Linked DNA regions of Saccharomyces cerevisiae S288C. The protein of the gene in region 1 interacts with the protein of each later gene in a biochemical or structural test. Each region holds a gene or a part of one and is shown in the gene's direction. Other genes may lie near its edges.

Region 1 (3,759 bases):
TTCTTGAAGGGTAGGATTGTTGCTTTCATTAATTTTTTCTAAAGAAAAATTACTTCTCAACAAATATTCAGTTTTTGCTGACGTTGTAAGTGGGAATTCGACGGAGAATGTTTTATCATCGCAAACGTTCTCACTTGTGCATGAACTTTTTGTTGTTTTTGATGTAGTGGCGTTCTTTCCCTTTTTATTCAATATCTTTTTCGATATATAGTGTAAATTTTTGGTGTCACTGTCTAGAGAAAGGAAAGTCTTTCTTGGTGTCTTTTCCCAATTTACAGATACTCTATAATTTACTGTCGTAACCGCAAAAGAATCCACTGAATCTAATTTTGACCATCTTATTGTTCGTTTGAAGGAAAAGCATAAAAATTTGCCGGTAAATTTTCCAATTTTCATACCGTCACCATGAAAAACTGCTCTTTTATCGTCAATAAAAACATTTGGAACATTAACGTTAGTTCTCAAATACAGAATTGCCTCGCCGGTTTTTTCATCCTTTACGCTCTTATATATGAGATCGTGGAAATGCTTGACAAACAAATTATTTAAATTTGCATGAGGTTCTGCAAATAGCAACATGTTGTTTTTAATCCTTCCAAGAACTTTTTTCATTAGTGCAAAATAGGGAGTGAAGACAGCATGGAAAGCGCTTTTTAACGTTTCATTCGTAAAGTTCAAACTGTTCACGGAACATTTTCCAGGCCAGTGGAATCGTACCCAATAAACAGTTGGACATAGAACTAGGACTGGCATACACTCTTCCATTTGGAGAATGGATATTAGTATAATGTAAATATAATTGATTTCATCTGGATGTCTCTCAAAGTCAGCAACGCTGATTCGTTGGATGTATTTGTTTGAACCTGCCAACAGCCTGAAGTACTCTAATTTTTGTTTGTATGTAGCGAAATTAGTAAATTTAGCCAATCTTAGCATGCCTCTAGAAAATGATATATTGATGCTTTCGAAGCCTGGTAATCTAGAGTATTCAATGAACATGATTGAAAAAGCACTAGGCCAGGTGATTATACCGCAGACTTACGGTAATATAAGGGCAAGAGAACTAAAAAAATCAATAATGTAGGCTTATATTACAGTTCTTTGTGAGATATTCCTTTCTAGAGCGTTTTCTGTGTCCACTCAATTAATATATACACTTCCCGTATCCTAACATTTACTGACACAATGATAGGCACAACGCGCGAAGGAGCGGTGGGGCTTTGAACAATAAGGACCCTTACATAGAAAAGGCGTTAGAACAACAATATGGTTAGGCCATAGAAACCTCGGTGTCTTTTAGGAACTTCACAGAATAGAACATACTGCAGTAGATATAAATACACCACTGGGGCAATGCAGCCTGGTTTTTTCCAAATATACAAAACACTTCATGATACTTACTAATGGTCGTTGATACAGTACTCATTGTATCATTGCAGGAGAGTTAGGTTGGCTTTTTTGCATTTATTTATTTATTCATTTACTCAATTGACAGGCAATGTCAATGATTTTTTGGAAGAAATTTGCCTAATGTTTTTACTCAGTTACTCACCGCTCCCTGGATAACATAAGGTTCATTTGCTTCCGTACTGATTTTTTTTGGCAGTCTATAAGCCACTATGTACTTCCCAATGCTCCTGCAGGCATATTCTTTTTCAATTTTCATGTTTTTACTTCCAGTCGTTGAGCATCATATGGATTCTATGTTGATGAGGCTTTTCAGAACGTGCTGTACTTTCGGAGAAGCGCCCGCTTTAACGCAGCGCGAAGAGAATAATTGAGGCTTATCTTAGAACCCTGCCCCCTTTGAAGCCACCCATTGCTGTTTCTCTTGGTAATCCTAATAATATAAAACAATACGATATTGTTCAAGATCAGCAGAACTTCAATTCGTTGATCAATCTTTTCGTCACCTTTTCTTCTATCACATCGCCAATATAAATATAGACACCAAAAATGCCCAAGGAGTCAGAGGTCATAAATTCTGAATTTCATGTAGATGTCCAAGATCCAGAGCGTCTAAACGGCCACCCTGTAGCAAAATTTATCAATAAATTAAGCGGTCAACCTGAATCTTACGTCAACAGGACTAATTATATTTTCGGTCGAACACTGGGTGCCGGTTCCTTCGGTGTTGTGAGACAAGCCAGAAAGTTGTCCACAAATGAAGATGTTGCTATAAAGATCTTATTGAAGAAGGCATTGCAGGGAAACAATGTGCAATTACAGATGCTGTACGAAGAGCTGTCCATTCTTCAAAAATTGAGTCATCCGAACATTGTGTCATTCAAGGATTGGTTTGAATCGAAGGATAAGTTCTATATTGTCACTCAGCTGGCAACAGGAGGTGAATTATTTGATAGAATTCTGTCTAGAGGGAAGTTCACAGAAGTGGATGCTGTTGAAATCATAGTTCAGATTCTTGGTGCCGTGGAGTATATGCATTCCAAGAATGTTGTTCATAGGGATTTGAAACCTGAGAACGTTTTGTATGTTGATAAGTCAGAAAATTCGCCTCTGGTAATTGCGGACTTCGGTATAGCTAAACAATTGAAGGGGGAGGAGGATTTGATATACAAAGCAGCCGGATCGTTGGGTTATGTGGCACCAGAAGTCCTCACACAAGATGGACATGGTAAGCCTTGTGATATATGGTCCATTGGTGTGATCACATATACTTTACTGTGCGGTTATTCTCCTTTTATTGCCGAAAGCGTTGAAGGATTCATGGAGGAATGTACAGCTTCGAGATACCCGGTAACCTTCCATATGCCATATTGGGATAACATATCTATTGATGTTAAGCGTTTCATCTTGAAGGCATTGAGATTGAATCCAGCTGACAGACCAACTGCTACGGAATTGCTGGACGATCCATGGATTACTTCAAAGAGAGTTGAAACTAGTAATATTTTACCAGACGTTAAGAAAGGGTTTTCTTTGCGTAAGAAATTACGTGACGCTATTGAAATTGTGAAGCTTAATAATAGAATTAAGAGGTTAAGAAATATGTATTCATTAGGGGACGATGGCGATAACGATATAGAAGAGAATTCCCTCAATGAAAGTCTTCTGGACGGCGTCACACATTCGTTGGATGATTTACGTCTGCAATCTCAGAAGAAAGGGGGAGAACTAACAGAAGAGCAAATGAAATTGAAGTCTGCATTAACAAAGGATGCCTTTGTTCAAATTGTCAAAGCTGCAACAAAGAATAAACATAAAGTTTTGGCTGGTGAAGAGGAAGACGATAGCAAGAAAACACTGCATGATGATCGGGAGTCGAAGTCAGAAGACTAAATTACGGACTTGAATTCGTGTACATAAATTCGTATATAATATTTAATGTGTAAAGCTAGTGACGATTTTATGTAACCAGCAGCTACACTTCATGGCATTCAAACTATAGACCTTTTCTGGCATTACGCCTCAAGCTTCTTTTTTCCCGAGAATTATCTTGTAGTTGCCTAACGGGTTCTGAGAAGATCTCTATATCATCACAATTCCTATCACAATCTTTAGCGCCATTGTGTAATTCTCTTTTCCCAAAAGATTTATCTGTCCTATCTTCACCTTTTCTTGTCAATGTATTCTCCTCACTCAGATATTCTGAATCATAGTCATCGCTAACGTCAATGTCAACTTCATTTTCACTTTCCTCGGAAACGTCACCATTTACATCACTCGAGTAATGCACCGTGGTTCTTCTCTGAGAGCTTGTTCGCAAATGACGTCCTTCAGTACTGCCTGTAGGGGCAG
Region 2 (3,759 bases), on another chromosome or scaffold:
GTAGAGACGCTGGACTCAAGTTATTCCATGAAGCCGTCATTGATGAAATTGAAAGATCAGCCCTGTCAAATAAGCAAGAATTGATTAAGAAATTCACCTCTAAAGTGGGTCCATTGACTGAAACATCCCACAGAGAAGCCAAGAAGCTCGCTAAAGAAATTCTTGGCCACGAAATTTTCTTCGACTGGGAGCTACCACGCGTAAGGGAAGGGTTGTACCGTTACAGAGGTGGGACGCAATGTTCTATCATGAGGGCCCGTGCATTTGCTCCATATGCTGATTTGGTATGGATGGAATCTAACTACCCAGACTTCCAACAGGCCAAGGAGTTTGCAGAAGGTGTTAAAGAGAAATTCCCTGACCAATGGCTAGCTTACAACTTGTCTCCATCCTTTAACTGGCCAAAAGCCATGTCCGTTGATGAACAACACACCTTCATCCAAAGGCTGGGTGATCTAGGTTACATCTGGCAATTTATCACATTGGCCGGTTTACACACTAACGCTTTAGCTGTCCATAACTTCTCTCGTGACTTTGCCAAGGATGGGATGAAAGCTTATGCCCAGAATGTTCAGCAGAGGGAAATGGACGATGGTGTTGATGTGTTGAAACATCAAAAATGGTCTGGTGCGGAGTACATCGATGGGTTATTGAAGTTAGCTCAAGGTGGTGTTAGCGCAACAGCTGCTATGGGAACCGGTGTCACAGAAGATCAATTCAAAGAAAATGGCGTAAAGAAATAGGACAAGGATTAACCATTAGAACTGCCGGCATTTCCTGACAAGTATATATATTCGTAATCTCAATGTATATTTTTTTCATATATAAACATGCGTACTTAAAAACTTAAACTCATCGTTACTGCAGTACAATGTTCTCTAATGGCATCTCTCTAATGGTACTCCAACTAAAGTCAACATTCTCTCCGTGCAAGAATGCCTTTCTCTAGTTGCAAAAACGAGTCAATAAACATCTTTGATCGAGTCGCCTCATTTTTGTTGACTCGGTGACTAAAATCAGTGCCATTTCTGTCCATGCCTCGTGCGCGAATGATTGAATCGAACTAATCCCGAACACAATCATAGTATCGTATCGCCCATTAGTGCCGTGAGTGTACGCGAGGCAAAAGGCACCATGGAAAATATTCCCTTAGTCATCTTGGAAATCATTGAGACTGTAAAGGAACTCGCAAACGGGTAACCGATATTTACCCCACCTTTGGTCGAGAAATTCCACCTGTTCGGCAATTTTTGCCGCTCTTCTCAAGAGCAAAAGGCGTTTTTTTTTCTGACACGCCTCTTCTCTCGCATGCCAAACTCAAGCGTCCTACATGCTTTTCTCATGAAAGCCAAGTGCGGGATGAAAAACATAAAATGTGACAAATAGTGCCACCTCATAATGTAATCGAGAGGCAAAATTAATCACTTTGTTCTCCCTTTTCTTTTTTCTGGGCGCTCAAAGTGAGATGCTTTCTGTAGAAAATAACATGGCCGTTAGAAGGTACTCGTCATCTTTTAGCTGCCGCATACATGTACACACACACACACACACACACGCACGCACATATATATATATATATATATATATATATATATATATTAAACATGATGGCAAAAAACCGAACTAAGTGCTCCTGTTCTATTTTTATATTCTTGCTTTTCATATTTCTCTAGCTGTATATTACCTTTAGCATATTCAAACATCTTAACCGGAAAATATCTCAGCAAAAAAAACAGCAACAGTCAGAGTAAAAATTGCAAGATGATTGACGATACTGAGAACTCCAAAATTCATTTGGAAGGTAGCCATAAAACAGGAAAGTATACGGGCTATGGTACTACACATAAAATCAGAGCTCAGTTAAACTTTAATGATGAAAAGAAATGGAAGAAGTTTTCTAGCAGAAGACTAGAACTCATTGACTCATTTGGCTTGAGCCAGCACAAAGCAAGTGAACAAGATGATAATATAAGACAAATAGCCACCATATTAAGGAGTGAATTTGAGTACCCTGATACGTTTTCGGCAGAATTTGAAAAGTTGGTTACCGCTGCTGTTCAATCGGTGAGAAGAAACAGGAAACGTTCCAAGAAAAAATTATTAGACTCTAAGAAGAAAATAGCCCGTGGTAAAGTTCAAAAAATTCCTTTGTCTCCCCCCAGCTCAAGTAATATGGGGTCTTGTTCAGCTTCCAATGCATCAAGCTCTGACGAAGAAGCCAGCGTGAAGGAAGAACCTGCTGAGCACGCTCTTCCTTCTCTTAATACTATAACATCACAAAAATTGTTACCTTATCCGAATGGCCGCACTCTTCCACCTGTACCAACTCAAGTTCGCTCTTTACTTAAGAAGAACGCATCTCTTCTTCGTGATCCATCGGCACCGTATGCGCACGGCGGCGATGAAAAATTACAAAAGTTTGATATAGAAGATCAGCCTCTAGAAAGTGAACAAGAATACGACTTTATTGCCAAATCAATAATTGTTGAAATTGTAAATAATGCTATTCCACTACCTGAACAAATTCAAAGAGATAAGTTCATTAGACCAAATTTAACGAAAAAAAAAGGGTGCCAAAGCAAAGTTGTAATATCCAACAACTTGAGAAAACTCATCCTGTCAAAGATACATAACTCAAGGACGTGCTTGGAGATGTCTAAGGATGAAAGAAATTTGGATTCTTTTGCTAATCTAGAAACGCTGGGCAAAAATTCACTAATGGCTTCCATTTCCCTTGTGGTAGAAAACAGCTTTTCACATTTACCGTCTTCTACTAAGCAATATCTTACTGAACGGCTGTCATCAATCGAATTTTTGACTATTCTATCGCAAAGGCTATTTATGCCCGCTACACGTCAACTATTCGCTGACCTATCACAAGAAAAAATTCAGGTGAGAGTGCTGAATCTCATACTGGGATCTCTTGTCAAAGATTATGGGTTTGATGCATCTTTGGCACCAATCAACGAAATTATCTATCACATGACACTCCATCAATATCCCTTGGTTTGTAGTAATAAACAGTCCAATCCAATGAGGCCACACTCCACATCTGAGGTCTTGAGTGCACATTCTTCAACGAAAGATGCAAGCACTCCCGGTAAAGAAGAGCCTCGAGTGACGAGGTCAAGCACATCGGCAGATAGCACTATCATTACATTGCCTTCAATTGAAGTCCCAAATACGTACGATGATGACAGGTTAAAGATGTTGAGCGCGATATCGTTGCAGATTGAAAATTCCACCTTTTCCAAACCATTCAGTACTATTTCAAAATAAATAGGCCCGCTTGCATCATCCCCACCTGCATTACTATGAACTATTTATCATAGCTTATTTTTCCTCTATCATCATTGTAACTTGTACAAGAATGTTCAGTCTGTAAATCTCGCCGCTCATTCTCTACTAGCACTTTACAACGTTGACAGCCACTGTATGTGTAATACAGTGAACCGCCGACTCTTCGGATTTAATAACACAGATTTATTTAGAATAATCTACACATGTTTACGTATGCAACAAATTTTGCACCTTCATATACAAACAACTGCGGTCGTTTAAAAAGTGGGAAAGAACCGAAACTAGAATGAAAAACTCCACCAAAACGGCTTGAGCCTTTATCTTCTGTAACCAGAGCGGTTGCCTCTCCTGTTTTTACTTACTCTGGAGCGGTTGTTTGCATTTTTGTTTCTATTTTTAAATTTACCGTTATTGCCACTTTCAGGTTCATTTTTCCTACTGACAAGGCCCAGTTCTTCA
Region 3 (3,398 bases), on another chromosome or scaffold:
GTTGCTACAGTTAATCAGAAACAACAACGTTTCGTTCTTGACCACCTCCAAAATTGGTCTAAATTTGATCACCATTTTGATTTCTCGTGCCGCATTAATCAAGCAAGATTCATCAAGATCTAATATTCTTTCCTCTCCTGAAATCTCCACATGGAATGAGATTTATGATAAATTATTCACTTCATTGGAAAGTAAGATTCAGCTGATTTTCCCTCCAAGGGAATATAACGACCACATCATGCGTTTACAAAATGACAAGTTTATGGATGAAGCATACATTTGGCAGTTCCTAGCTAGTTTAGCACTAAGTGGAAAGCTAAACCACCAGAGAATCATTATTGATGAAGTACGTGATGAAATCTTTGCCACTATTAACGAGGCGGAGACCTTACAAAAGAAAGAGAAAGAATTGAGTGTATTACCTCAGAGGTCTCAAGAATTAGACACAGAGTTAAAATCTATTATTTATAATAAAGAGAAACTATACCAAGATTTGAATTTGTTCCTAAACGTTATGGGGTTGGTGTATCGCGATGGTGAAATATCAGAACTAAAGTAAGATTTTTCCTGTAATTTTAATGTACTTACGCATGTATTTTTTTTTCTCCCTTATTTTTTATTTCCTACCCTTTGTAGATCATTTATTGTATATGTTTTTATATAAGTTTATATAAGTTTGTTATCCTTTTTTTTTCATAAAAAACCCGTATTAGCATCAATAATACCACCATAGTAACGCAAGAGTTAAACAATGATTGAGAATAAGGTTGAACTGGTAGCAGAACTAGTGTTGGAGTCCATCGGTAAAACTGAGGTGGTGTCACGCCATACAGAGGGAACCAAATCATGCCAAGTGAGTTTTCGCATTAAAGATTCTCCCAGTGAGAAGGGTTCAACATCGTTTCTCTCTGAGCTAGTGGTGATTCAGACTCTGGATGACAATGACAAGTATACTGTTGTTATTCGTCATGGTACGTCGATCACCATGGCATGTGTGGTGGGTTACAGCGATTTTAAATTGCCCACAGAATTGAAATGGCCACTAGAAAGAGAAAGCTTACCTGTGGAGCCAGACCTGAAACCTATAATGACACAACTTAAAAGACAAACTGCAGGTAGTGCGGACATGCCAAAATTTGACGATGAGTACCAGGCACAAGCAAGACAAAACCAGGGAACAGCACCGTTGAACCCATATCCCGGACTTACGGTAACTGAACCGAGCTTCGCTAACCCAGCAGGAGGGTATGCGGATGGTGATCTGTATCCTGTTGGCACAAGCCATCCGGATTGGTCTGGAGGGCTTCCCAATCCTCTGGGGAATCCAAGTAGCCAAGGCGGTATGATTTTCGATCCAAATAGAAGACCTGCCCCAAGACGGGAAGATATGCCGCCAGGATGGATGCCTGGATCCAAGTACGACGAACCATTTGGTCCTGGATCTGGCGGATTTGGAGGTTCAGGATCCGGCGGATTTGGAGGGTCAGGATCTGGCTTTATTTAAATGGGTGTTTATTTTAGTACTTTGTTTATTGTGATATTTAGTTTTTAGATAGTATACAGACATAGCTATGTCGAAAGGGAAGGAAAGAATTTATTGAGCGCTGGTATATACAGCTAAAGTGATATCATTGCGTTTGTACAGGTGTACGAGTAGCGAATCTCCTTGAACTTGAGCAAAACCTTCTGCATCCAGCGTAACTTTCGATAAATCACCGATATCTTCGATCCTTTGACTGCCCACGCCGGTAGACTCTATAACGTTACCGTGAGTATCGAAAGCAATGGTTCCCTTAATATCAGATTGTTTTTCCGCTTCCATCTTTGATTTGGTTTAGGTGATTTGGTTTGAGGTTGTGGTATTGCCCTTTAATAGCGGAATCCTTTATATTTTTTGATAATCTTGAAATTTTAAGGTGAGTTTCCATATGTAAACAAGGGAAGAAAAACTAAAAGCAAACAAAAGCAAACGCGAAGCAAAATGGTGTCGTTAGACGATATACTAGGTATCGTGTATGTTACGTCATGGTCGATATCGATGTATCCACCGATAATCACCAATTGGCGCCATAAGTCAGCGAGCGCGATATCGATGGATTTTGTCATGTTAAATACGGCAGGTTACTCTTACCTGGTCATATCCATATTTTTGCAATTGTACTGCTGGAAAATGACGGGTGATGAGTCTGACTTGGGCAGGCCCAAGTTGACGCAATTTGATTTCTGGTATTGCCTGCATGGGTGCTTGATGAATGTTGTCTTATTGACCCAGGTGGTAGCTGGAGCGAGAATCTGGCGATTTCCAGGTAAAGGTCACCGCAAGATGAATCCATGGTACCTAAGGATTTTACTCGCATCACTGGCCATTTTTTCACTGCTAACCGTACAATTTATGTACTCCAACTACTGGTACGATTGGCATAACTCAAGAACTCTGGCGTATTGCAACAATTTGTTTTTACTCAAAATATCGATGTCACTAATCAAGTACATCCCACAAGTGACGCATAACTCGACAAGAAAATCTATGGATTGTTTCCCCATTCAGGGTGTGTTTCTAGATGTCACTGGCGGTATCGCCTCGCTGCTCCAATTGATTTGGCAGTTGTCTAACGATCAAGGTTTCAGTCTGGATACGTTCGTGACAAATTTTGGAAAAGTGGGACTGTCAATGGTAACTTTAATATTCAACTTCATCTTTATCATGCAGTGGTTTGTATATCGATCTCGAGGCCATGATCTGGCGTCAGAGTACCCGCTGTAGCACACAAGGAGAAATCTGCATAATTACGCATATATATATATATATATATATACATAAATATACATAAATATATGTATGTATGTATGTATGTGTGTATGTATGTATGTACACACATGCATGGTTTAAATAGACAAACCTTGGTGGAATTTATACTTTTTTTTGGTGACGAGGACGTCCGTAAGAGCATCGTCGTCAACAAACCATGATACACGACCAGCAGCACCTTCGTTGACAATACTGCTAGGTAGGCCCTTTTCAGGCCTTTCCATAATGGTCTTGATGATGGGCGCCTTGGTTGCACCTTCGACAACGAAAGTAACCCTGTGAGAATGGCAGATTACAGGTATAGTCAGCGAAATTCTGGTCGAGGGCCCACTAGGAGCGTTCTCCACGGGCACCACCCATGCAAGTTTCTCACGTAGATTGTCCTGGAAGTTAGGGAAGAGTGATGCGATATGACCATCGGGGGCACAACCAAGCAGGAACAAGTCGAACATCGGAAGTTTGACGGAATCTCTACCGGCAAACCCGCGGATTAGCACCTTTTCATAGTTATCAGCGCATTCTTGCGGGTCGTCAATCAATGACTCGTCAATGTGGTACACCTTCGGAGTTCCATACTTCGCCGTGTCTA

Evidence for each region.
Region 2: of the proteins of CMK2 (region 1) and VHR2, one has a biochemical effect on the other in vitro, tested with the Saccharomyces cerevisiae proteins (one large-scale study listed by BioGRID).
Region 3: the proteins of CMK2 (region 1) and ERS1 form a complex in vitro, tested with the Saccharomyces cerevisiae proteins (one large-scale study listed by BioGRID).

What each region holds. Positions count from the first base shown.
Region 1 is NC_001147.6:294,318-298,076, reverse strand, and holds CMK2 (calmodulin-dependent protein kinase CMK2), read left to right. Parts: upstream 1-1,956; coding exon 1,957-3,300; downstream 3,301-3,759. Other genes in the region: IRC10 (Irc10p), read right to left, coding at 1-999; ESC8 (Esc8p), read right to left, coding at 3,404-3,759.
Region 2 is NC_001137.3:282,225-285,983, reverse strand, and holds VHR2 (Vhr2p), read left to right. Parts: upstream 1-1,761; coding exon 1,762-3,279; downstream 3,280-3,759. Other genes in the region: ICL1 (isocitrate lyase 1), read left to right, coding at 1-743; THO1 (Tho1p), read right to left, coding at 3,618-3,759. UniProt on the Saccharomyces cerevisiae protein: Transcription factor that regulates ERG9, but seems to have a more global function in transcription.
Region 3 is NC_001135.5:247,399-250,796, reverse strand, and holds ERS1 (cystinosin-like protein ERS1), read left to right. Parts: upstream 1-1,981; coding exon 1,982-2,764; downstream 2,765-3,398. Other genes in the region: deadenylation-dependent mRNA-decapping factor PAT1, read left to right, coding at 1-559; FUB1 (Fub1p), read left to right, coding at 752-1,504; EGO2 (Ego2p), read right to left, coding at 1,595-1,822; SOL2 (Sol2p), read right to left, coding at 2,887-3,398. UniProt on the Saccharomyces cerevisiae protein: Cystine/H(+) symporter that mediates export of cystine, the oxidized dimer of cysteine, from vacuoles/endodomes.